6 linked regions of the Canis lupus familiaris genome follow. The protein of the gene in region 5 binds, or shares a complex with, the protein of the main gene of each other region. Links are inferred from orthologs where the notes say so. Each region holds a gene or a part of one and is shown on either strand. Other genes may lie near its edges. The genes, in order: HTATSF1, SF3B3, SF3A2, SF3B4, SF3A1 and DDX46.

The links.
Region 1: SF3A1 (region 5) and HTATSF1 share a complex: the UniProt entries of both Homo sapiens proteins name them as parts of the 17S U2 SnRNP complex. The link is inferred for Canis lupus familiaris from reciprocal best matches to the Homo sapiens genes SF3A1 and HTATSF1.
Region 2: SF3A1 (region 5) and SF3B3 share a complex: the UniProt entries of both Homo sapiens proteins name them as parts of the 17S U2 SnRNP complex. The link is inferred for Canis lupus familiaris from reciprocal best matches to the Homo sapiens genes SF3A1 and SF3B3.
Region 3: SF3A1 (region 5) and SF3A2 share a complex: the UniProt entries of both Homo sapiens proteins name them as parts of the SF3A subcomplex of the 17S U2 SnRNP complex. The link is inferred for Canis lupus familiaris from reciprocal best matches to the Homo sapiens genes SF3A1 and SF3A2.
Region 4: SF3A1 (region 5) and SF3B4 share a complex: the UniProt entries of both Homo sapiens proteins name them as parts of the 17S U2 SnRNP complex. The link is inferred for Canis lupus familiaris from reciprocal best matches to the Homo sapiens genes SF3A1 and SF3B4.
Region 6: SF3A1 (region 5) and DDX46 share a complex: the UniProt entries of both Homo sapiens proteins name them as parts of the 17S U2 SnRNP complex. The link is inferred for Canis lupus familiaris from reciprocal best matches to the Homo sapiens genes SF3A1 and DDX46.

What each region holds. Positions count from the first base shown.
Region 1 is NC_049260.1:107,799,828-107,804,099, reverse strand, and holds the start of HTATSF1 (HIV Tat-specific factor 1), read right to left. Parts: upstream 2,801-4,272; 5' UTR 2,532-2,800; intron 2,339-2,531; 5' UTR 2,277-2,338; coding exon 2,091-2,276; intron 383-2,090; coding exon 202-382; intron 1-201. UniProt on the Homo sapiens protein: Component of the 17S U2 SnRNP complex of the spliceosome, a large ribonucleoprotein complex that removes introns from transcribed pre-mRNAs.
Region 2 is NC_049226.1:77,109,314-77,112,813, reverse strand, and holds part of SF3B3 (splicing factor 3B subunit 3), read right to left. Parts: intron 2,885-3,500; coding exon 2,710-2,884; intron 1,531-2,709; coding exon 1,325-1,530; intron 1,228-1,324; coding exon 1,071-1,227; intron 97-1,070; coding exon 1-96. UniProt on the Homo sapiens protein: Component of the 17S U2 SnRNP complex of the spliceosome, a large ribonucleoprotein complex that removes introns from transcribed pre-mRNAs.
Region 3 is NC_049241.1:57,268,151-57,272,309, forward strand, and holds the start of SF3A2 (splicing factor 3A subunit 2), read right to left. Parts: upstream 2,801-4,159; 5' UTR 2,705-2,800; coding exon of another isoform or gene 2,611-2,704; 5' UTR 2,362-2,610; exon of another isoform or gene 2,254-2,361; intron 2,187-2,253; exon of another isoform or gene 2,020-2,186; intron 1,804-2,019; exon of another isoform or gene 1,700-1,803; intron 1-1,699. Other genes in the region: PLEKHJ1 (pleckstrin homology domain-containing family J member 1), read left to right, coding at 2,611-2,704, 2,801-2,868, 3,323-3,389, 3,940-4,030, 4,102-4,159. UniProt on the Homo sapiens protein: Component of the 17S U2 SnRNP complex of the spliceosome, a large ribonucleoprotein complex that removes introns from transcribed pre-mRNAs.
Region 4 is NC_049238.1:59,867,874-59,871,897, reverse strand, and holds the start of SF3B4 (splicing factor 3B subunit 4), read left to right. Parts: upstream 1-1,224; 5' UTR 1,225-1,347; coding exon 1,348-1,381; intron 1,382-1,828; coding exon 1,829-1,957; intron 1,958-2,225; coding exon 2,226-2,768; intron 2,769-3,091; coding exon 3,092-3,298; intron 3,299-4,024. Other genes in the region: MTMR11 (myotubularin-related protein 11), read left to right, coding at 1-22. UniProt on the Homo sapiens protein: Component of the 17S U2 SnRNP complex of the spliceosome, a large ribonucleoprotein complex that removes introns from transcribed pre-mRNAs.
Region 5 is NC_049247.1:23,899,586-23,903,085, forward strand, and holds part of SF3A1 (splicing factor 3A subunit 1), read right to left. Parts: intron 2,730-3,500; coding exon 2,655-2,729; intron 1,925-2,654; coding exon 1,774-1,924; intron 1,453-1,773; coding exon 1,259-1,452; intron 373-1,258; coding exon 255-372; intron 1-254. UniProt on the Homo sapiens protein: Component of the 17S U2 SnRNP complex of the spliceosome, a large ribonucleoprotein complex that removes introns from transcribed pre-mRNAs.
Region 6 is NC_049232.1:22,851,523-22,855,022, reverse strand, and holds part of DDX46 (probable ATP-dependent RNA helicase DDX46), read right to left. Parts: intron 3,211-3,500; coding exon 3,022-3,210; intron 1-3,021. UniProt on the Homo sapiens protein: Component of the 17S U2 SnRNP complex of the spliceosome, a large ribonucleoprotein complex that removes introns from transcribed pre-mRNAs.

The sequences.
Region 1 (4,272 bases), on a different chromosome or scaffold from region 5:
GAGGTACAGAATTGAAATAGCCTCCCCAATGCCCACAAGTCAGTGTGCAAGCCAATGGATAAATCTAAATAATAATAATAAAAAAACCCTTCATCTTATGATTCCTTCAAGACTATTATAATTCTTCAAATAGTAATCATATATACACATGCTAACATTTAACATTTTTATGTTCATATTTTGCAAGCTAAATCCACTTGCCTGGTTCAGCCTTTCTCTTTTCTCCCCTCTTTTTGGGATCATTGGGTTCAGGGGTTTTTCTTTGTGGCGGTTCTTCTGCAGTCCTAGCACTGACTTCTTGCACATTTGCAGTAGAGCTAGATGCCCCCTCATTAGAAAAGCCATAATTGGCCTGATATGTAGCAATGAAATCTTCAGTGATCTAAACAAAAAATTCAGCACACACACATATAGAAATTTGAAAATGACTTCTTCCCATAAAAAGTGTACATTGTGATAAATTTCTGCATATTTGGTTATACAACTGAACACAGAAATGTTTCTACAGATAATGGCTGTAGTAAATAAAGTGTAAATGCAAGAATAGTCATGTTATACAGAAAATGTGCATAAAATGACAAAAAAAAATAAGATGGGTATTTGGATTATCAACACAAAACTCTTAAGGAAATTATTGGCACTGTAAGTGGTGTTGGCGCATTTTCTAGTTGATTCATTTATAAATCACTACCTCTCTACAGTCTACTTGAGTAAGGCTACAAGTACATACAATAAAGGAAGTACCAGATAACAATATAACAAAAACCAACAGTCAATAACCTAACAACAGAATCAATTTTTCTTTTGCTACAGAGATACACAAAAGTATACACGCATTAAATATTTGAGTGTCTGTATGTAGAGAACACACAAGATAAAACTGATTTAGTATATAGAGAATAGAACTAACGATTGTAAAACTAAATGCTTATTTTCACTCTCTCACTAATTAAATGACACAATCTTTTAGTGTCAGAACAAACTAAGAACAAATTCAACTCACATCCATCTATCCTCCTGGCTTTTAGGGGAAAAAAAGCCCAGTTGCACAATGAAAGAAATAGGAGTCTGCCTTCATTCTGGTCAATGTTACGCACATACAGGAGTGGGGAATTTTTAAAACTCAAAGTTTCAAGAGGTATGGGTTTCAATAACATAAAAAGATAAGAGTCACAAATGAATCCATTATCAGACTATTGTTAAAAGTCCTCAGGAAACCAAATCTGCTCTGGAGCTGGGATGACCAGAACCAGCAAAATAATAAATGTAACAATGTAAAGGGAATGAAGTATACAAAAACAAAAAGGAAAATAAAAAAATTGAAACAAATAATTTTAAGAATAACAGTCAAACTACACAATGGAGACATGGCTTATATTACCAGCTTGCAAGTTGATTGCTACTGGTATATTTTCCCACCCACATGAGACTTTGATTAACAGGGTACTTTTGCTGAAAAGTTTGCAGAACCAAGTTAACACCGGTTACATTACTTACAACCTGGAATAAAATACTTAACAATTTCCAAGCACTCTACACAAATATACACAGATATCTTCTATCCATATTCCGTGCCTGTGGTTGTATGGTTCGAACACACATGCCTAGGGACAAAATCTGATAGGAAAGAGAGGTGCAGATCAAGTTCAATCTATAAAGGGATATAAATGGCTATTTTTTTTTCAAAACCAAGAAGCTGCATTTTGCACAAAGTACACAAGCTAAGCAAACATCAGAATTCCTAGGGTATATGAGGTTGGCTATCCAAGAGACCCACAGCTACTAAATTTGCTCTCGGTGTTTTTCCTCTTTGCAATAAAAAGCAGTAACCAATGCAATAACCAACCATGACCTTCACAGACAAAATTAATAAGGCATAGAAGAGATTTAAGAATTAAATTACATTCGAGACATCTCGGTAAAGATCTACGTTTCTCTAACATCGGTTCGGCAACAGAAACAACAAAAAGAAACGTCACTATCCATGGGGCCCTAACTCAAGACCTCAGCAAAGAAAAACGGAAAAGGGGCGCCCCGCGAGGCTGGCCAGGCGGGCCCGCTCTGCAGTGCCGCCCGTGCCACCGTCGTACCTTGGGGAACCAAGCCTTCTTGTCCAGGTCCCACTCGTACGGGGTGTCAGCCGGCTGCTGCCCGAAAGAATCGGGTTCTCCACTGGGATCTTTCTGGGTGTCGCCGTCCTTGGCGTCGCCGTACAATTCTTGCATTCGCAACTGCTCATCAAACTCGTCGTTCCCATCCAAGTTGTTGCCGCTCATGTTGCCGACTTAGGCAAGGGACAGGGTCCGCGCGAGCAAAGAGGCCGAGATGCAGCCGGAGGCTATAGAGAAAGGGAGGTCAGTCGCACTGGGCCCGCGTCCCGCCGCCCCCCGGCACGCCTCCCCGCGGCGCCCCAGCAGCCCCCGGGAGGTCGGGGCCGACCGGCGCCCGCGCCGCCCCCTGCTCCGCCCGCTCTCCCACCGCGCGCGCGCGCGCGCGCCGCAGGCTGCAGCCCCTGCCGCGCCGCCGCCCACCTGGCTCGCTCCACCGGGCCTCGGCGCCGCGGCTCGACCCAGGGCGTGGCGGGAGCGCGCACGCGCGCCGCCGCCGCCCCCGCCGCCGACCGGGTCGGAGTCGCCTGCAGCCTCTGCAACCCCCGCGGCTCCCGCGGCTCCCGCGGCCCCCGTGGCCCTCGCGGCAACGTCAAGAGGTTGCCGGAAAACTGAGGCCCGCTCAGGCTGACGCAGTCGCCATTGTTGGCACGTCGAGACGTCGCGGGTCGCGCCGACACGCCTCCAGTGGCGTCAATAAGCGCCGACGCGGGCGGGCAGTGCTGGACCCTAGGGGCGGGGCGTCTTGCGGGGAGCGCTGCTAATCGCCCGCCGCTGCCCACCCGGGCCTCCTGGGCGGGGCGGGGCGGGGCGGGGTGGGGGCGCGGGGGCCGCTGCGCTTAGGGACCTCGGGCTCGGTGGAGGCCGCGGTGGGCGGCAGCCGGAGGCGTGGGAATGTTCCCACTCGGCGCGCGCCATCTTGGGGGAGTGGATGGGGCGGGCGGGACGGATTTGTGTTCCTGAGAAAAAGACAGGCCTCCTTCCCCCGTTCCGCTTGGGAAACGCGACTTTGGCTTATTTCTTTATGATTTCCCTAGGATGGGCGCCGGCTCTTGTTCAGCTTCTTGGCCTAAGCTCCCAGCCCAGGGTGTGGTGTCTAGTGCGTATTGAATGAGCGAGTGAGCAAATGAATGAATGAATGAATGAACGAACGAACGGGGTGGGGACCAACCTTCTTTTCCCAGCCTGAGGCCCCTCCTTTATCTCTGGTACTTTCTCAGGCTGAAGATCGACTCTGGAAAGGCGGAGGGGGACAGGGGGGAGCAGTAGTTTTCTGCCTCTTGTACGCCACGATTCAGAGGTGCTCAAGCTCCAAACCTGAAACTTAAAACATCCAAGTATAAGCACCAGCTTTACTGGCCCAGCAACTTCGGGTTTTTTGTCTTTCTTTTAGAAAAGTACAGAATATTTTCCCTCTACACAGCTTTTTATCAAATTACATATTTATCGTAGAAAATAAAAAGGTCTGTATTTTTTTTTAATCGGGCAGATATTTATTGAGCAACCAAATGCCAGGGACTGTGCTAGGCTCTGGCGAGCCAGCAGCCAACAACACAGGCACAGCTCAAGGGAGACGTACTTGTTTATGTAGATGATTCTATCAACATTTGTTGTAGTAAAAACAACAGTTTAAAAGGGTTTTTAAAAATCCCTTTAAAAATAACAATGATAAACTTCTTATGTACAAACGTAAAATTTTATAAACCAGACGTGAGGGTAAAAAGCTTACCAGAAGAAATTAGTTCTGCTATCCCAGTGATCTTTTACTTCTAAATATAGCAGTTGCGTATGGGCTCTAGAAAATCTTAACTCCCCAAATACCGACTGTGAGAATATGGTTTCAACCCTTAAAGCGATTTTTAAATAGTAGCTTGGGTTTGAGTTGGTTTTTTTTTTTTTTAAGTACATTTCTTTTTCATGAAGTTCTTGTTCTGTTCCAGACTACAGGAGAACTGAACTTGCATGCTTTTTTATATATATAATATAGATAACATGAGTTTTATTAGGCTCACTTATTTAAGCATTGCTAAGTATTTCTTCCTGGATCCCAAAATAGTGTACAGCTGTTTTCAGCAATGTGTTATTGGGCTCCCATTTCATTCCTGAGTGAGTTCACAGCATAGGTGATAATATGTTACACAGCCCTACTACTGCTCGTGACCCT
Region 2 (3,500 bases), on a different chromosome or scaffold from region 5:
CTTCCCCAGGTCATAAACTCGCAGAAGCTTCCCCACACCAATCAATACTCTCCCTTGGAATGGGGCAATGGCAGCAGGGACCTCTTCCACTGGAGTCTGTGAGGAAAAAAAAGCAGGTAATGTAGCTATTAGGACACCAGCCATAGGCTAGCCCCACCCTCTCAACCAAAAATGTTTTTACAAGAAACAGTGAGTGATCACCTTTGGCTCATCAGAGAAATAAACCACACATACAACAGTCTCTAGGAAATGGGGTGGTTGCGTAAACAGGTCCCACACACTGCAAATCACTTAGCAAATGGATCAATGTCACAAGTCAAAGGAGCCTAATGAATGTGGTCTTAGAGCCTGTGTTAATTCAACTGGTGCCACTAACAGTGAAGCCTCAATATCAAAAAAGTGACTGCTGGTTGTGGAGGGATGGGAAAGGAGTGACAAGTGACTTCTTAGTTTTAAGGGAGATACAATGAGTTTAACACAAAAAAAAGTCCACAAGTAGTTATTTTGTAGGGGACACTTCCCTGTGCTTCAAAGGGCTAGAGGAACTACATGCATTTGTTGTCCATGTGGAAGAACAGGAAAATTTTTCCCTTATTTTTAAAACTGCGATAAAATACACATAAAATTTTCCATTTTTAAGTATACAATTCAATAACATCAAACATTTTCACTGTTGTGCAACCACCACCACCATCCCCAGAACTTTATTTTTCCAAAGGGAAACTATCCATTAAAGGCATTTCTCCAGAGATTATTAATTATTTAGATCTACTAGATTTTGGTCACAAATTGCTGTCTGCTTAGTAAAAGCAATAAACAAGGGGCCAATTCGGTGTGTATCTAAGTCATCATTGTGGATGGTTAGAACACAGGCTTCCTGTGGACCCCCGGGCAGTGGAGCTTCACTGGAGCATGAAAGCCAGAGCGTTTCTGTGTCCCACCAAGAGACGGAACATAATCAATGAGCTGGCTCCCAAAATGGTCACCAAAAGACCTGACCCACAACTTAAGCAAAAGTGGGAGACTTCAGTTGGACCAGAGACACAGGAGTACCACTGGCTGGTTCCTACCTTGTGCAAAAACTCCAGTTTTTCCCCATTGTTCACGAGCTTGTAGGTATAGACAAAGCCCCCTGCCACAGACCTGGGGTTGAGGATCAGGTCTTTGGCCACACCCACCAAGACATACCAATCATCACCAGTGTTAGAAAACCTACACACAGCCACACTGCAAAAAAGAGAAAGAAGCAGGAGTCAGGCATTAGTTATAATATAAAGTATTCTCATTCCAGCTCCCAAAACCTTGGACATCCTGTGCTCCTTACCTAAAAGCAGCCTCATTCTGTTCTAGCTGGACAAGGTCCAGCGTGTTCCCTTGAATAGGATTCATCACTCGGATCACAGAAGCCCACTGTCCATTGCCAGCCTTAGGAGCTCCAAAAATGGACTCAGGGAGGTTTTCATTGAGGAATGCTGCTGCCATTTCAGCAGCAAGCTCCCGCTCATCTTCTCCTGCTGCTTCTACCATTTCCTAAAATCAATCAATCAATCACAAAAACACAAAACAAACACACAAAACAGGGAAGATGGGACACCTGGGTGGCTCAGCGGCTGAGGGTCTGCCATGGGCTCAGGATGTGATCCCGGGGTCCAAGGATCAAGTCCTGCATCAGGCTCCCTGAGAGGAGCCTGCATCTCCCTCTGCCTAGATCTCTGCCTCTCTCTATCTCTCACGAATAAATAAATAAAACCTTAAAAAAAAAAAAAAAAAAAAAGGAAGAGTCGGTATATTCAGAGGTAGGTAGTGGGTGAGAAGTGGACAAATATACAACACCTCCAGGGGGAATTCATATCATGTAAGTAGCCAAGTCTGTAGGCCAAAAACAAATCTCCTATAAAGTAAAGATTAAAGGGAGAGGTATACAGATAAGGGGAAGAGGGAAAACCACTAAAGGGGAAACCAGGTACTTCATTTTTTAATGCCTAAAAAAACCCTAACATCAACTACGGCAAATACCTGAGTGGTCTGAGATACATAAAATGAAAACACCACTTTTCTACCTATCGCATCTGATTTCCCTTGCTACAAATCCTTGTCTCATCTCTTCCAAGCCAGACACAGCTTTACATGGTTGGAGCTATTTGTTTTTTTGCTAGGAGATGATTTCTGGAAAGAACTAGTGTTACGGAGAAAATGAAATCTGTCTCCTTTGGGCCTGAATCCAGGAAACACATACATAAACTGTTTGGGAAGCTCAAGGACTGAAGAACTCTGTTTCAAAAGGAAAGCTGAATACTGAATAAACCCAGGTCAGTGTATTAGTCCTGAGTCACAAGATAATCTCTAAAAACAAGGATTCAGGCAAAGGGGTCTGCTTAAAGGACCGGACAAAAGCCTGGGTCTTTTTTTTTTTAACATTTTATTTATTCATGAGAGAGAGAGAGAGAGAGAGAGAGAGAGAGAGAGAGGAGGCAGAGACAGAAACAGGTTCCTCACAGGGAGCCTGATGTGGGACTCGATCACCAGACCCCGAGATCACACTCTGAGCAAAGGCAAAACACTCAACCTCTGAGTCACCCAGGCATCCCAGCCTGGGTCTTTTTTAATCTAACAGAATATAATCAACAATTACACGAGTTTAAACTTTTCAACAAAATTTCACATGAATGCTTTTTAGCTGAACCTTGAAGGCCAGTCTCATTACATTACCTCTGCCATCTGCTGCTTCCTCTGAGCCTTTGTCGCTTCAGTATAGGCATTGTGGTCTGTCTCAATTATGATAAGGTTGTTGCTCTCAGGGTGAATGACAAATTTCCTGGGTGTGTACTGCAGTGGAAAGGCTACTTGATTGAAGACAGCACCTAGCTTCTCCAACGCTAAAATCCTATTGTGCAAAAGGCAGGGAATTAATAGATCACTCAGGGTCTAGAAACTCAGGTAAAAGTATAAAACCAGTCACACAAATGCATCAATCTCTAAAGCTCTCATGTTAGCATAAATTAACATCAAATACCAGCCTTCTAACCTAGAAGATTCTGCACAGAAAACAAGGAAATCCTAGAAGGGCCTTCTACTTCAGCAACAGCAATTCTGGTTTTCTTTTCCTTTTTTTTTTTTTGCAATTCTGGTTTTCACTAGTGAAATTTTTTTTTTTGTCACTCCAGTGATAACGCGACAGTAAAGAGTTAAAACTTCCTCTTATTATTGACAAACTCTGAAAAAAAGAACATCAATTCCAAATTCATTCTAAATTACTGAAACTGCCTCAACATGTAGTATTTGTGCTGTGTTTCCTAAAATAAAGTGGGTGCTCTCCTGAACAAAAATCACCTAAAACAGGAAACCTGCAACCATACAAAAAGAGATGGTGAGTAGGGGACCTACAACCTTTGTCAAATGAGACCAAGAGATGTGCCTAAGCCAAACTATGTCCAAAATAAGCAGAACCTAAGTACTCTTAAAAATATAGTCACTTGGGGCACACCTGGGTGGCTCAGTCT
Region 3 (4,159 bases), on a different chromosome or scaffold from region 5:
CCAGTTTGGCTGGGACCCAGGGGCCAGGACAGAGACATGCCCTCACTTCCTGTCACCTGTTCTAGCAGTGACATCTCCAGAACACCCCACTGACCCAGCGGTGGGGAGCCAGTAAGAGCCATAAGACTGACTTGGAAAGTAATGTGTTAACAAAGCCAGGAGATCCCCCCCCCCACCCCATCTGGTGAGGATTCCAGTTCCTTGTTAAGCCATCAGATAAGCCCCTCAAATGCTAGTGGCTGGCTGGGGCAAAGGCAACACGGGTGTTGCAAAAAGGGTCCACGTTTAGAGTGACGGGCTCAGGAAGACGGAACGCAAACACTGAGCTGGTCACCAAGTTAAAGGGAAGCAGTAGCCACTGGAGACCCAAGGTGCCAGTTGCTTGTAGCCCACTGCAGAGTGTTCCTGGCCTCCCCAGGGGAGGTCATCCCCTACAGGAGCCCAGGGGCCCTCACCCGACTGCCTGGGTAGGTTTTACAGTCTCAGAAGAACTGAACAAAGGGCCGCTCCACTTAGAGGGGCAGGCACAGAGGGAGAGAGTTGGAGAGCCAGGGAGTGGAGTGAGGGCCAGGCTGTAAAGAAGGAATTCCATGAACACCTGCCCTGCCCCTGCAGCTTGCCCAGAGGGTCCACCTGGAGGTCCCCAATCCAGGGACACAGTGAGAGCACGCTAGAAACGGTATTCTCAGACACTGACAGTGGGAGTCCCCTGCACCCCCAAAGAAACCTAGGCCTGTCTGGTTTCCTAGGCCTGCTGGGCAGTGAGACTCGCTAGGTTAGAGTCTGGGAACTCAAACACAGACACATCCGCTAGCCACCCCCCACCCCCCCAGGCAATGTTAGCATCCTCCTTAATTAGAGGGTGAGAGGGGGGATCCCTGGGTGGCTCAGCGGTCAGGGCGTGATCCTGGAGTCCCGGGATCGAGTCTCACGTCGGGCTCCCGGCACATGGAGCCTGCTTCTCCCTCTCCTCTGCCTTTGTCTCTGCCTCTCTCTCTATATATATATCTATCATAAATAAATAAAAATTAAAACAAAACAAAACAAAACAGGGTGAGAGTTACTACACCTCCAATGCAGAGCACGGCACCAAAGGTTAGCAAGGGCAGTTAAAACCCAAACCCAAGACCTTTGGAAACAGCTGAACTTAAGAGCTTGCGGGTACAAGTCAAACCAACCTTTTACAAAGAAACGCAAAACAGGGGGGAAAGTAAGAGAACAGGACTTAGATGAAATTTCAGAGCGAGAACAGCAAGAAGCATGGAAGGCATCCTCAAAGAAATCTGAAAGCATTCCCAAAGAAAGGGAAACAGCCCGGGCCCGGGGCTTGAGAGAATCTCATTGTTCGGACGGAAAAAAGGACAGAGACCCCCGTGGACAGAGACCATCGGGAGGCGCGGGTGGCTCAGGTCGTGACCCCAGGGTCCCGGGCTCCCCGCTCAGCAGTCAGCCTGCTTCTCCCTCTCCTCCCCCTGCTTGTACTCTACCTCCCCCTCTCTAATAAACAAATACAAATCTTTTTTTTTTTTTTAAAGATTGTATTTATTCATGAGAGACACACAGAGAGAGGCAGACACAGGCAGAGGAGCAGCAGGCCCCCTGCGCGGAGCCCGATGGGGGATTCGATCCCGGGACCCCGGGGTCACGCCCTGGGCCGCCTGGGGGCCCCAAGAGGGATGCTCAGTCTAGAGCTTGTTACCCTAAATTCTCAGCACGCACGTTCGCGGACAACCGAAGTCAACGTCAGCCCCGGGACGCCAGGGCGCGGGCCCGTCGCGGGCGCCCCCTCGGCCTCCCCCCCCCCCCCGACCCGCCGCCAGGGACCCCACGGCGCCGCCGGGCCCCGACCCGACCCGCACACTTCCGAGGAGGCGGGACTCGTCGGGCCCGACCCCGCGCGCGGCCAGGGAGCTGGGGCCCGGCGGCGCCGCGAACCCGAGAGCCCCCCGCCCCCCGCCGCTCCCGTCCGGGGAAGCCAGGGCCCCGGGACCGCCGCGCTCGGCCAGCCCGGATCCTCACCCCGCGCGACTCCTCACCCCGCGCCCGCCGCTGCCACGAAGACGTTATGCGCAGGCGCGTCGCGGGCTACAGAAGCGCTTCCGGGGGCAAACGGTGGGGTCTGGGGAGAGGGGTGAGGGCTTCCCGTGTGCGCATGCGTGCTTCGCCAGGCGAGGCGGACCTGATGCTCGAGAGGGCGAGGAAAGGGGGCGGGGCTGGGAATAAGGGCCGGAACTCGGGAGTGCGCGTGCGCACCAGGCTCTCCACGCCTAGCGGGCGCCGGGCCGGTTTCCGCGGGAGGGCGGGCGTGGGCTCGTCGGTAGAGGGCGCCACGGTCGTGAGGCTGCCTTCCTGGGTTCCCACCTCGGATCCAGCTGACTGCGTGGTTATTTATAACGGCCGTCCGTGTCGGCCGGTATCGCGTGCTCCCCCACGCGGGCCTGGCTTAGCGCCGCGCGCCGGCCAACACCACAATGCGTGTCTCGGGGCCGCGCAAGCGCAGTGGCCGCGACGGCGCTTCCGGGACGGCACTGTAGGACTTTTTTGGCGCGAGAGGGGACGGCGGCCGGGAGGGCGCGGCCCGCGCTCCGCGTTTTGGGTCCTGGCAGCGCCATGCGCTACAACGAGAAGGAGCTGCAGGCGCTGTCCCGGCAGCCGGCCGAACTGGCGGCCGAGCTGGGCATGCGAGGCCCCAAGAAAGGCAGTGGTGAGCGGGCCGGAGCGCCGGGCGGGCGGGCGGGCGGGCTGGCCGGGCGGGGGTGGGTGGCGGCCGAGCCCGCGTGAGCCCGCCCTGTGCCCGCAGTGCTGAAGCGGCGGCTGGTGAAGCTGGTGGTCAACTTCCTCTTCTACTTCCGGACGGACGAGGCCGAGGTAGGCCGACGGGCGGGGGTCGGGGCCGGGAAGAGAGCGGGGGCCCGGGGGGCGGGGAGGGCGGGGCCGGGGGAGGGGCCGGGGGCGGGGCCGGGACAGGTGTCGGGGCCGGGAAGGGAGCGGGGCCTGGCGGGGGGAGGGGAGGGCGGGGCCGGGGGGCGGGGCCGGGACAGGTGTCGGGGCCGGGGAGGGAGGGGGGCCTGGGGGGGGGGAGGGGAGGGCGGGGCCGGGGGAGGGGCCGGGACAGGTGTCGGGGCCGGGAAGGGAGGGGGCCTGGGGGGGAGGGGAGGGAGGGGCCGGGGGCGGGGCCCGGACAGGAGTCGGGGCGGGGGGAGGGGCCGGGAGCGGGGCCCGGACAGGTGTGGGGGGGGGCGCGCCGGGCGGGCTTTGGGGTCCGGCGGGGGCGGGGGCCCGGGTCCCCACGAGGCCGGTCCCCACTCGCCCCCTCCCGCAGCCCGTCGGAGCCCTGCTGCTGGAGCGCTGCAGAATCACCCAGGAAGAGCCCAGCGGCTTCTCCATCTGTGAGTGCCGCGCCCGCCCTGCCCCTTCGGCCCGGCCGCGGGTCTGCGCGGAGACAAAGTCCACCCTTCCCTCGGGCTGCCGGGGTGCAGCTCCTCTAGGACCTTGTCTCCTGTTGGGCAGTGCTGCACTGGGCTGCCGGGCCCTGCTGTGGGCGCCCTGGGGCTGGAGAAGTGACGTCATTGGGCCTGCGGGGGATCCTTGTCGGGGAGGTTGTCCCAGGCGAGCCTGGCTTCCGGGGTGGCCGGCAGCTGGCAGCGCCCTTGCCTCTGCAGAAGGACTCCTAGGGTGTTCGTGTCCCCCCTTCATGTTCTCGGGGACGTCCTGTGCCGCCTATTCTCCCCTGACTTATTAAGTAGCCGCACTCTGAAGGGTTCTGTATCTGGGCCACAGGCTCTAGGGTTAGGACTGGAACTACTGTGTGGGGGGCACCATTCAGTCCACTCAGCCGCTGGGAGTCGTCTTGGCCTGGAGGAAGGTGGAGGCCCGTGGGGGGGCTTCGGAGGGGGCGGCGGGCAGTGAGATGGGACAGACAGACCGCTCCCTCCGCAGGCTTCATGGAGGACCCAGAGAGGAAGTACCACTTTGAGTGCTGCAGTGAGGAGCAGTGTCAGGAGTGGATGGGGGCTCTGCGTCGAGCCAGGTGAGGTGTGGGCCTGCCCAGGGGCTGGGGAGGGGGGGGCCTGAGTGAGCACATTCCACTTTCTCCCCCAGCTACGAGTTCATGCGGAGAAGCCTCATATTCTACAGGAATGAGATCCAGAAGATGACT
Region 4 (4,024 bases), on a different chromosome or scaffold from region 5:
CATTCTTTCCCAGTCCCGTTGAAATTGTTGTCTTTTTTATGGGCATGGCAGAGGGGGTCCGGGGTGAGGGAAGGTTCTGTCTAATCCTCCAATTTTTCTTATCTTGGTCTTGCTGTCTCAGCTTTTGACACTCCAGCCCTCAACAAGCTCACTGACCTTTCTGTTGCAGATGGGTGGTGCTAACCTTCTCCAACTCTTGCCCTGTCCTGTTTCATTCTCGAGATATGTTTCTCATGATTTGAGGAATTAAGAAACAAAAGCAATCCAGAATACGATTACCTTTGTTCTTTTCAGGGCAATTCCATCCCTCTGGATACCCAGCCGATAAGCTGTGAGATGAGAGATGCTGTTCATCAGTTCAAAGGAGATGGCCTACAGAACTCATTCTCACCTCCTCTTGCTGCTTAATTCCAATTTCTGTTTCTTCCCTCTGGTTTTCTATGGGTATGCTAGTGGGTATGGGACACATCCTGTCTCTCCCAATTGTATATTTTGTAGTGACATTTCTATTTAACGAGTTCATTAAAGTACAGTTGCTGGCATTATCTCTGGTGTCTGAATAAAAGATCCTAAGTAAAAAAGCGATGATAAACCGGGAGAAGAAGGGACCCACCATATTATTGTTCAGGAAATATGGAGATAGGTCAGGCTGTCCACACTAATCGTTTCGTAAGATGGGGCAAAGAGCATGCAAAGACATGGTTGGTGGGCCCGGGGTATTCTGGCGGTTGAAACTGAGGCCCCTGGGCTGCAATGTCAGGTACCCTCAGCTCTGGGCACACATCATCTCTGAGCCTCAGGTTTCCATCTCCCCCATGCAACAGGATCATGTGAGCTCCGACGCCACTCCAGCTCAGACACTCCGCAATCCTCTCCCCAGAAGCCGCGGGCCACGGTGGAGGGCTGCCTCCGCACCCTAAGGCAGCCGAATCCTTGGGTTGGAGGGTTTCCTCAGCACACCCTTCTCCGGGGAACAAAAGGATAGTTTGCCAACAAAATATTTCTAAATAAAGTTTTGTTCTTTTAGCTTTTGAGTTTACATTTTTAGGAGTACTGTGATCCTTTAACGTCCAGCACTGCCTTAAGAGGGTCTGGGCATTTCCGTTCGGCCCTCATCGCTTTGACCGCTAGCAGCGGCAAATCCGCGCAGAACCACGGACCGGAGAACGCGGCCCCACAAGCCGCATCAAGTCTCCGCAACTCCTAAGATGGCCGGGGCCTCTTCCGGCTCCTCCCCCATCAGGCCCCGCCCACCGCCCTCGTGACTACCTTCGCCCCGGAAGTGGAAGTACTGACTGAGGTCAGAGGGCGGGATCGCTGCCTGGAGACGGCGGGAGCTCTTTCGCCATGGCGGCCGGCCCGATCTCCGAGCGGAACCAGGGTAGTTGGAGGGGATGAGGCCAGGGAGGCTGGGAGGCCTCGAGGAAGGCCAGCCGTGTTTTCGCCGGGGCAGGAGATCGGATCCCCCCGGAGGGCGCGAACCCGGCCCCCGTGCCGGCTGGGGGTGGGGTGGCCGGGTGCAGGCTGAGGCCTGTGGTTGTGATGCTCTGTCCAATCTCCTGCGCCTTCCCATTCAAAAAAACAAAACAAAACAAAAACCCAAACGAAAACCAAAAACAAAGCAATTCACAGAGAATTTGCAGCAGAACCTTCAGTTAGACTTAAGAAGGTTCTTTAGTTCTGGAATGAGAGAGATGTAAGGGCTTACTCTCACGTCTTTTTCCTTTTTTGTTCCTATATCCCATCTCCACTCCCAGTTCCCCCGCCTGTCACTTCCTTCTTTCCCGTCGTTGTCTCATCCCTGCCATAATCTGCTCATTTCTCTTAGATGCCACTGTCTACGTCGGGGGACTGGATGAGAAGGTTAGCGAACCCCTGCTGTGGGAGCTTTTTCTCCAGGCAGGGCCAGTAGTCAACACCCACATGCCAAAGGATAGAGTCACAGGTCAGCACCAAGGTGAGTACATCACAAGAGGCGTGTTTATGCATTGAGGGGACAAGCTGCTCCTGGAGGGTTCCGGCAGTATTCATAGGCAGTATTCATAGCCGTTTTGGAATCACCTGTAGATTCTTCCTTTTAAGTGTCATTCAATGTTTGCTTCTGGAACCATTCCCAGTTGAAGTGAGGTGGTTATTTCATGTTCTTTGTGCTTTGGAAGGTGCATGAGTTACACACGAAATTGAATCACTTCACTTAAGTTAATCTCTGCTTTTCTACTTCCCAGGCTATGGCTTTGTGGAATTCCTGAGTGAGGAAGATGCTGACTATGCCATTAAGATCATGAACATGATCAAACTATATGGGAAGCCAATACGAGTGAACAAGGCATCGGCTCACAACAAGAACCTGGACGTGGGGGCCAACATTTTCATTGGCAATCTGGACCCAGAAATTGATGAGAAGCTGCTTTATGATACTTTCAGCGCCTTCGGGGTCATCTTACAAACCCCTAAGATTATGCGGGACCCTGATACAGGCAACTCCAAAGGTTATGCCTTTATTAATTTTGCTTCATTTGACGCTTCGGATGCAGCTATTGAGGCCATGAATGGGCAGTATCTCTGTAATCGCCCCATTACTGTGTCCTATGCCTTCAAGAAGGACTCGAAAGGGGAGCGCCACGGCTCAGCAGCTGAACGACTTCTAGCAGCCCAGAACCCACTCTCCCAGGCTGACCGCCCTCATCAGCTGTTTGCAGATGCACCCCCTCCGCCTTCAGCCCCCAATCCTGTCGTATCATCATTGGGGTCTGGGCTCCCGCCACCAGGTAAAGCTTTTATTCAAAGTATTTTTGTCTTGGGCTTGGGGTGTGGTGGTGAGCGGGGGCAAGGGGAGGAGAAAAGAACTTGATAAAGGGGGACATGGAGTCAGTAGGTGATGAGAAAGAGAGTGAGGGGTGACAGTTGTGGGGAGAAAGTTGTTGAGTTGAAGAGGCTGAAGTTGTTCCTAGTTATCTAGTATTGCTTCTGATTTTAGAGAGCTGGGAGGAAGGGAAGAGAACTTATCCTGCCTGAGGAGGCCAGATTGAACGGGCTTTCTAAAGACATTCTCTCCTTACTATCGTTAACTTGTCTTTCATTTCCTCTATAGGCATGCCTCCTCCTGGGTCCTTCCCACCCCCGGTGCCGCCTCCTGGAGCCCTTCCACCCGGGATACCCCCAGCCATGCCCCCGCCACCTATGCCTCCCGGTGCTGGAGGACACGGTCCACCATCAGCAGGAACCCCAGGGGCTGGACATCCTGGACATGGACACTCGCATCCTCACCCATTCCCACCAAGTGGGATGCCCCATCCAGGTGAGTGTTCTTTGCTGGGGAAAAGGATAGATAAGCTTGTTGGAGGAGCTCCACTGCCACATGCAGTGCTGCCCTCATCCCTCAGCAGTAATAGTAGATAGTCCCGGAGCTCTGCTTTTTTTTCAGACATTCTTTTATAAAAACAAACACGAGACACTGTTCTCTGTTTACTTTAACAGCTACCACCCTGTCTCCATTTATTATACAAGTTTTTCCAAAGAGTGTAACTGTACTCGTTTGCTTTTTCCTTTAACTTTTACTTCATTTTTCTCCTCCGACTTCTACCCCAAAGCAGTGACCTAATTGCCAAATAGAGGGGGCACTTCCATTCTTTACCTGGTTTGCCATTTGGTGTACTTGAAACTGGGTGTGTTGTCCTTTTTGAAAAGCTTGCCTCTTGGTGTTTCTGGATTTTTCATCTGTCTCAGACTCCTTAAAGTTAGCCACATTAGGGATCCCTGGGTGGCGCAGCGGTTTGGCGCCTGTCTTTGGCCCAGGGCGCGATCCTGGAGACCCGGGATCGAATCCCACATCGGGCTCCCGGTGCATGGAGCCTGCTTCTCCCTCTGCCTGTGTCTCTGCCTCTCTCTCTCTGTGTGACTATCGTAAATTAAAAAAAAAAAAAAAAAAAAAGTTAGCCACATTAGTAGGCTTTTCTCCCTCTCCATGTAGCTGGGTTTTTGTATCTGGTTCTCTTTTCTTTTTTTTTTTTTAATTTTTATTTAT
Region 5 (3,500 bases):
GAGAACACTGGAAAGTAGTCAGGGTCAAGACTGTTGTTTCATTTACACATCACTCATCTGAGACACATCCATTTAGTGCCATGCTATACCTGGTACTGTGCAAGGCACTTCGGCACCAGAGATGACTCAGCTCTGTTCCCCACCGCTAGGCCTGCGAAGGATGGGTTATCAATGCCTTCGAGACAAGCCACCTCACTCTCTCCTAGAAACAGATAGCTCTGGGGAACGTTTGAAGGCAGGAATGCAGGCCCTACCTTTGGGGTCATAGTCCTTCCGAACAATGACCTGGTCTGGAGTTGGGGGCAGAGGAGGCGGCATCGGTGTCTCTGGGGGTGGGGGCACTTTCTGCCCTTCTTCTTCATCATCTGAACCCTGAAAAGCAAAGCAATGGTAGGACTCAGAGAATGGCTGACAGGCCACCTCCCTGAAGCTAAGCCCTGATGGCTCTCAGGGTGGCAAGGAACTTAGGTCTTTGCCAGCCAGCATCTATGTGCTAAGCCTCTGGGGGCAGCCGAGGCCAGCCGGCAGCTGGCCAAGCTGTTTCCTCACAACATGAATGGGAGTGCTGGGGGCCGTGGTGCTAACACTCCGCCCAGGCATTTCCAGCAGCTGGCACCAGGCAGTCCCAGGAGACCAAGGGCACTTAAACATGCTGGGGAGGGAGGGTGCGGGGGGCAAGTCAGTGCTCAATGGTAGCTACTCATGGAGCAATGCTGGGAGGGAGAGAAAAAGTTAATTCCCACAGACACAGGGGCCTTTCTTCTCACACACAATTTCTTTCCAAGAGGAGGAGAGCAGCTTGGCTCCGGAGACTCTATGCCTGCCTGGGGCGGGAGGGGGGGTAGGGGTGGTAGAGGCGGCCGAAAAGAAGCACAGTCTACACTGAGAAAAGCTCTGGGAACCACTAATCATCTGGGCCTAGGCTCAAATGCATCAAAGCATGTGGCAAAAAGTGTTCCCTTACTGAGAGCTGGCATGGGGGCAGGGGAGAATAGGGCCTCTGGGCCAAGGGGGGAAGGTCACAGAACAGAGCCAGCACAGCTTTTAGATCCTTGCCTGTGAATGAATCTTTGTTGCCAGAGCTAGAAAGAGGCTCTATGCTGCCTGGGTTTGGGCAGCTGCTCAGCTGGGATCCCTTTTCGGGACCCATGCCTCCTTTCAAGGTTCATAAGGGAGCTGGATCTGACTTGTGGAAAGCACCATCTCCTTAAGCTCCAGAGGGAAAGGCCAGCTTGCAGGACCTCCCAGGAGCATATACCTCATCCATATCTTGCACTTGAGTATCCTGGTCCAACTGGGAAGGAGGCTCCTCTGCCTTCTCCTGTTTCTCATCCTCTTCATCAGACTCGACCTCCATTTCAACCTCTTCACTTTCCCCAAACTTCTCATAGCGCTCCTGAATGAGGATTCGGGCCCCCAGCTCCTCCGGGGTGGTGGGGGGAGGGAAATTCCCTGGTAGAGGGTGATTCAGAGTCAAAGGCAACCTCCACAGACAATCCTTAGCAAAGACCCATCAGTCTGCCCTCCCCACACTGTAAGCTCTCCAAGGGCCCGATTTCTCTCCCAGCTCCAGACGTCCACCCAACATCTGGCACGATGTTTGCTCTATTGGATTTAAGTGGGGGCAATGTGGCAAATTTGAAGGATTCTGATAGCAGAGATGAAACAGACAGATAAAACTCTCTGCGGGACTGTGCTGCTCCCTGGGAAAAGATGTATACCTGAGATGTTCCAGGATGGCTCCTGGCTACTCATCTGGAGTCACAGATCTACCTTGTTCATTGGGTTGGAAGTCCACGGTTTCCACCACCACAAAATCATGCCAGTCGATCTGTGCATAAGCCACCCGTTCCTTCTCCTTTTCCTCCTCTTCCTTCTTCCTCTCTCGCTCCTGGAACTTGGCCCACTCCACCCGGTAACACACCTGAAGAGACAGAAATGGCATGATGCTAAGCTGATCAGGGTCTGCTGCTGATGGGGCGGTCACCTCCAGGCCCTTCACCAAATCCAGCATCTCCTTTGAAACAGGAGGCTGTTCTGTCTACAGGGAGAACTTCCGGAGTAAACGCTGGTATTTGCATTTGGTTTCAGTCAGACCCATAGATTGGAAAGAATAAAAATTCTAAATGTCACAGAAACCTTGTGTCTGGGCCCCAAGGGCAGCCATTTGTTATAACCTCAGTTTTCTGCTTGAGTTGGCAAGGAGGTCTATGCTCACAGAGCAGCAAACTCTGTCCCAGGAAGTGTATGTGACAACACATACCCACAAGAGAAGCAGCAATCTGAGAACCTGAGAAACAAAGGCTTCATGCAGCCACCCAGAACAGGCAGCACCAATATGCCTTCTCTCTCCTTGACTCTGAAAACTTGGGGCAGCAAAAGGCATTTGTCACCAGCAAGCCTATTCAGGAGTTGGCTTCTAATCATCTAATCTAATAATCAGTTGGCTTCTAGTGAGGACAGAAAAGAGGAAGATCCAGTAAAGCTGAGAGAAAGTAGAAAGAGAGCAGAGTCCAGGGTTCTTCAGCCTTTGTGGCCATAAGGCCTTTCTTCCCACCACTCCTGTGCCTGAACTGAATAAGGTCCCACCTCAGAGCCTTATTCCAAGTATGAAACAACCCACACCACCACTAACTAGTTATAATTCAGTTTACCTGGTCCAAAACTTCTCGGGGGTTCTCCGCCTCTTTCTTGAGCTTTGTAAATAAGCCTTTAGGGGGAATCAAGATCTGCAATATGAAGAGTTAAAGCAGGTGTCAGTGCCACACAATACAGGACAAACAAGTGGCCTTCCGGGACCTGTAGAAAGGCACAGGAAAAGTGAGAGGATGGGGTTCCAGGTCCCAATTCCAGCTCCACTTTGCTGTGTGACTTTGGACAAGTTACTTAACCTCTGTAACTTGGCTGCCTTCTATAAATAGTGACACCACCACTTAAAGCTGGCAGAGTCAACTTAAAAAACTGTTGCAAGGATCGGCAGGAAAATAGGCAAAAGCACTGCTCATCACTCAGCATATAGTGTACATGTGCTGGCTGGTCTCAGGGCACAGGGCTGTTCCTACCCTTTTGCACATGCTCCCCTGACAACCCGGACTCCAGACTGCCGCCTACAGACTTCATCTCCTACATTCCGTCCCCTGCTTTCTATTCTCTGTAGTATTTATTACCATCGGACATCCACTGACGTTGCACTTGCTTGTCCCCCTCACTGGAACAGAAACTACACAAAAACAGAGATTTCTATCTTTATTTTTTATTTTTTTTTTTTTGAGATTTCTATCTTTAGTTTACTATTTTATGTCTAGCATTTGAAATAAAGTCTGACAACGAACATATATTTGATGAGACAACGAATGATGGCTTTGTTCAAAACAGCATAAATTCCCAATAGTATTTATTGTCACTAGTAAAGTGGGTTCAGCCCCACTCTATCCTCCCTATACCTCTACCTCATGAATAAATCTATTCCTATGGTCTCCAATGACCAGAGACAGACACCA
Region 6 (3,500 bases), on a different chromosome or scaffold from region 5:
TCATTCATTCTATGAACCAAGTAAAATTTCTTTCAGATAATGGTTCTGTCCCGTATTGAAAGAACCCTTTTAACTATTACCATTATTAAAGGCTGAGATTTCAATTAACCATCAAGTCAGATAAACAAGGAACAAGTAAAGCCAATTCTTACAAGTGGTTAAAGAAAAAAATGACAATACTAATGCCAAAATGGTATTTGTTGAAAAACAGCAAATCTGTGATAATAAATCTTTTTAAAATCTATGGTCTAGAGTAGAAAATCCAAATTTCAGTCAGCCAAAACCTAAGTATAAGGATGGGCACAATGGGGCTATGGAAAGATCACAGAAGGGGCGCCTGGGTGAATGTCTGCCTTTGGCTCACGGTGTGAGGTCCTGGGATGGAGTCCCACATCAAGCTTCCTGCATGAATCCTGCTTCTCCCTCTATGTCTCTGCCTCTATGTGTCTCTCATGAATAAATAAAATCTTAAAAAAAAAAAAAAAAAAAAAAAAAAAAGGAAAGATCACAGAAATTAAGACTAGGAGACAGGGATGCCTGAGTGCCTCAGCAGTTCGTTGCCTCCTTCAGCTCAGGTGTAATCCTAGAGTTTACACTAGGATTATCATGTGGGTTCGAGTCCCACATCAGGCTCCCTGCATGGAGCCTGCTTCTCTCTCTGCCTGTATCTCTGCCTCTCTCTGTGTCTCTCATGAATAAATAAATAAAATCTTAAAAAAAAAAAAAAAAAAGACTAGGAAACAATTTCTATTCTAGAGCTGACTGTGAGATGACACAGGGCAGATCAACTCTCTGGGTCACAGCTTCCTCATCTATATAATATGGAGAATTCACTTAGATAATCTCAAAATCCTTCTTGCTCTTCTTGTGATTCTACTTTCACTCCTGAAAGTCAAAGACCAAATCCCAAAAAATCAATTTCACTTAACAAGTACATGAATGAATTTTATGAAACTGTTCCTGGCACCACATGATACAAAACTGAGTAAGTTAGCACTATGCACATTTTCATAAATGAGTATTTTCCCTGAGTACCCTGTAATACCTTTTCAATTTCTTCTTCCGCTGTTTGAAAAAGACAGTTTTTTTCTGTGATCAGTTCATAGCACATGTATAACTTTGTCTAATTTCCTATTATAATAATAAGAAACTTATCAAACGATTTTTTGGTGTAAGGAAGATTATTTTTATTTACAATGTTTTCAACAGCTAGAAAGGTTACAGCTGCTTGACTGATGCGGAGGAATATGTAAGCAAGTGAAAGTAAAATAAAAATTAGGAGGTTCTTTTGTTTAAATCTAAAATAGTTTTTTGGGATCCCTGGGTGGCGCAGCGGTTTGGCGCCTGCCTTTGGCCCAGGGCGCGATCCTGGAGACCCGGGATCAAATTCCACATCGGGCTCCCGGTGCATGGAGCCTGCTTCTCCCTCTGCCTGTGTCTCTGCCTCTCTCTCTCTCTCTCTCTGTGACTATCATAAATAAATAAAAATTAAAAAAAAAAAAATAGTTTTTTAAACTACCAAGGGCAGCCCCGGTGGCTTAGTGGTTTAGCGCCACCTTCAGCCCAGGGTGTGATCCTGGAGACCCGGGATCGAGTCCCACGTCAGGCTCCCAGCATGGAGCCTGCTTCTTTTCTTTTCTTTCTTTTCTTCTTTTCTTTTCTTTTCTTTTCTTTTCTTTTCTTTTCTTTTCTTTTCCTTTCTTTTCTTTTCTTTTCTTTTCTTTTCTTTTCTTTCCTTTCCTTTCCTTTTCTTTTCTCTTTCTTTCTTTCTTTCTTTCTTTCTTTCTTTCTTTCTTTCTTTTTCTTTCTCTCTCTCTCTCTCTCTCTCTAATAAATAAACTTTTTTAAAAATCTTAAAAAATAAATAAAACAGTGTCAAACAGGGTTGCCTGATTGGCTCAGTTGGTAGAGTATGCAACTCTTCATTTTGAGGTTGCAAGCTCAAGCACCACATTGTGTGCAGACATTACTTAAAAATAAAATATTTTAAATAAATAAATAGAATTTTTTTTAGAAATTAAAAAGTGGGAGGTGGGTGGGCCGGGTGGGCCAGGTGTGCTTAGCTGGCTCAGTCTGTAGAGAATGCAATTCTTGATCTCAGAGTTATAAGTTTGAGCCCATGTTGGGTAAAGAAATTACTTAAAAATAAAAAGCTTTTAAAAAGCCATTTTTCTTTTTTTTTTTTCTTTTCTTTTTTTTTTTTTTTTTTAAGATTTTTTCATTCATGAGAAACAGAGAGACAGGCAGAGACACAGGCAGAGGGAGAAGCAGGCCCCATGCAGGGAGCCCGATGCGGGACTTAACCCCGGGACTCCAGGATCAGGACCTGGGCTGAAGGCAGGCACTAAACTGGTGAGCCACCCAGGGATCCCCCATTTTTCTTTAAAGTGTTAAACAGCAAACAGGGATTGCAGATGGCTCTGCCCTTTTCCTTCTCCTGTTGCCTTTAGTGGCTGTTCTGAACACAGTGGTCAGCTCTCTTGGGACAGAATTAGAACAGAACAGCCCTGATGACATATTACCTTACCTTTCACTTGTTTTTAAAACCTTTCTCAGGGCAGCCCCAGTGGCGCAGCGGTTTAGCGCCGCCTGCAGCCCATGGTGTGATCCTGGAGACCAGGGATCGAGTCCCACATCAGGCTCCTTGCATGGAGCCTGCTTCTCCCTCTGCCTGTGTCTCTGCCTCTGTGTGTGTGTGTGTGTGTGTGTGTGTGTGTGTGTTTCTCATGAATAAATAAATCTTTAAAAAATAATAATAATAATAAAATAATAAAATAAAATAAAACCACCTTTCTCAGGGGACTCTGGGGATTCTCTCTGGATTACAAGAAATATAGCCTAACGTTTCCAAACTTAAAACACCGTTTAATAGTCTTTGCTTCAGGCAAATCACCTCTGGACCTCATCAAATGAACTGGGTTTAAGGAGAATGCCCACAAAGGGGCCACTAAATTCCACTTTTGAAGAAGCCTGATTTACCTGAGAAGGCCCACTTTATCATTTTTAGGAAACTAGTCTTACCTCAGGCGCTTCCGGTCTCTTGACCGAGATCTTCTTTTATCTCTGCTACGAGACCTCTCTCTCCTTCTATCTCTATCTCTGCTTCTAGACCGTCTGTCATCTCCACGTTTACTTCTTTTGTCTGAGGGTGAGCGACTTCTAGAACGACTTCCAGAGCGCCCCCTTGATGCTGATCGCTTTCGATAGTGGCTAGAATGTTAAGTTCAAGATTAGGTTTAGCAAACACAGGTAGCTTCTATATTTAATTACTCAGATTTTCCCCGAAAGATCTTAACAGACAAACACTGAAATGACTTTTTATTCATCAACTCTTAAAATCTGGGGAAAGGAATGATGCCTGTAGCTATCTACAGTCTGTGTAGACAGGAAAAAACTATACTGAAAAGGAAGCAAGGACAGCAAAAATTTTAGAATAGACCAAACTCCTGCCTTGGGGCCCTAAGCAACTTGCATTCTGGTAAATGAAGAGATGAGAGACA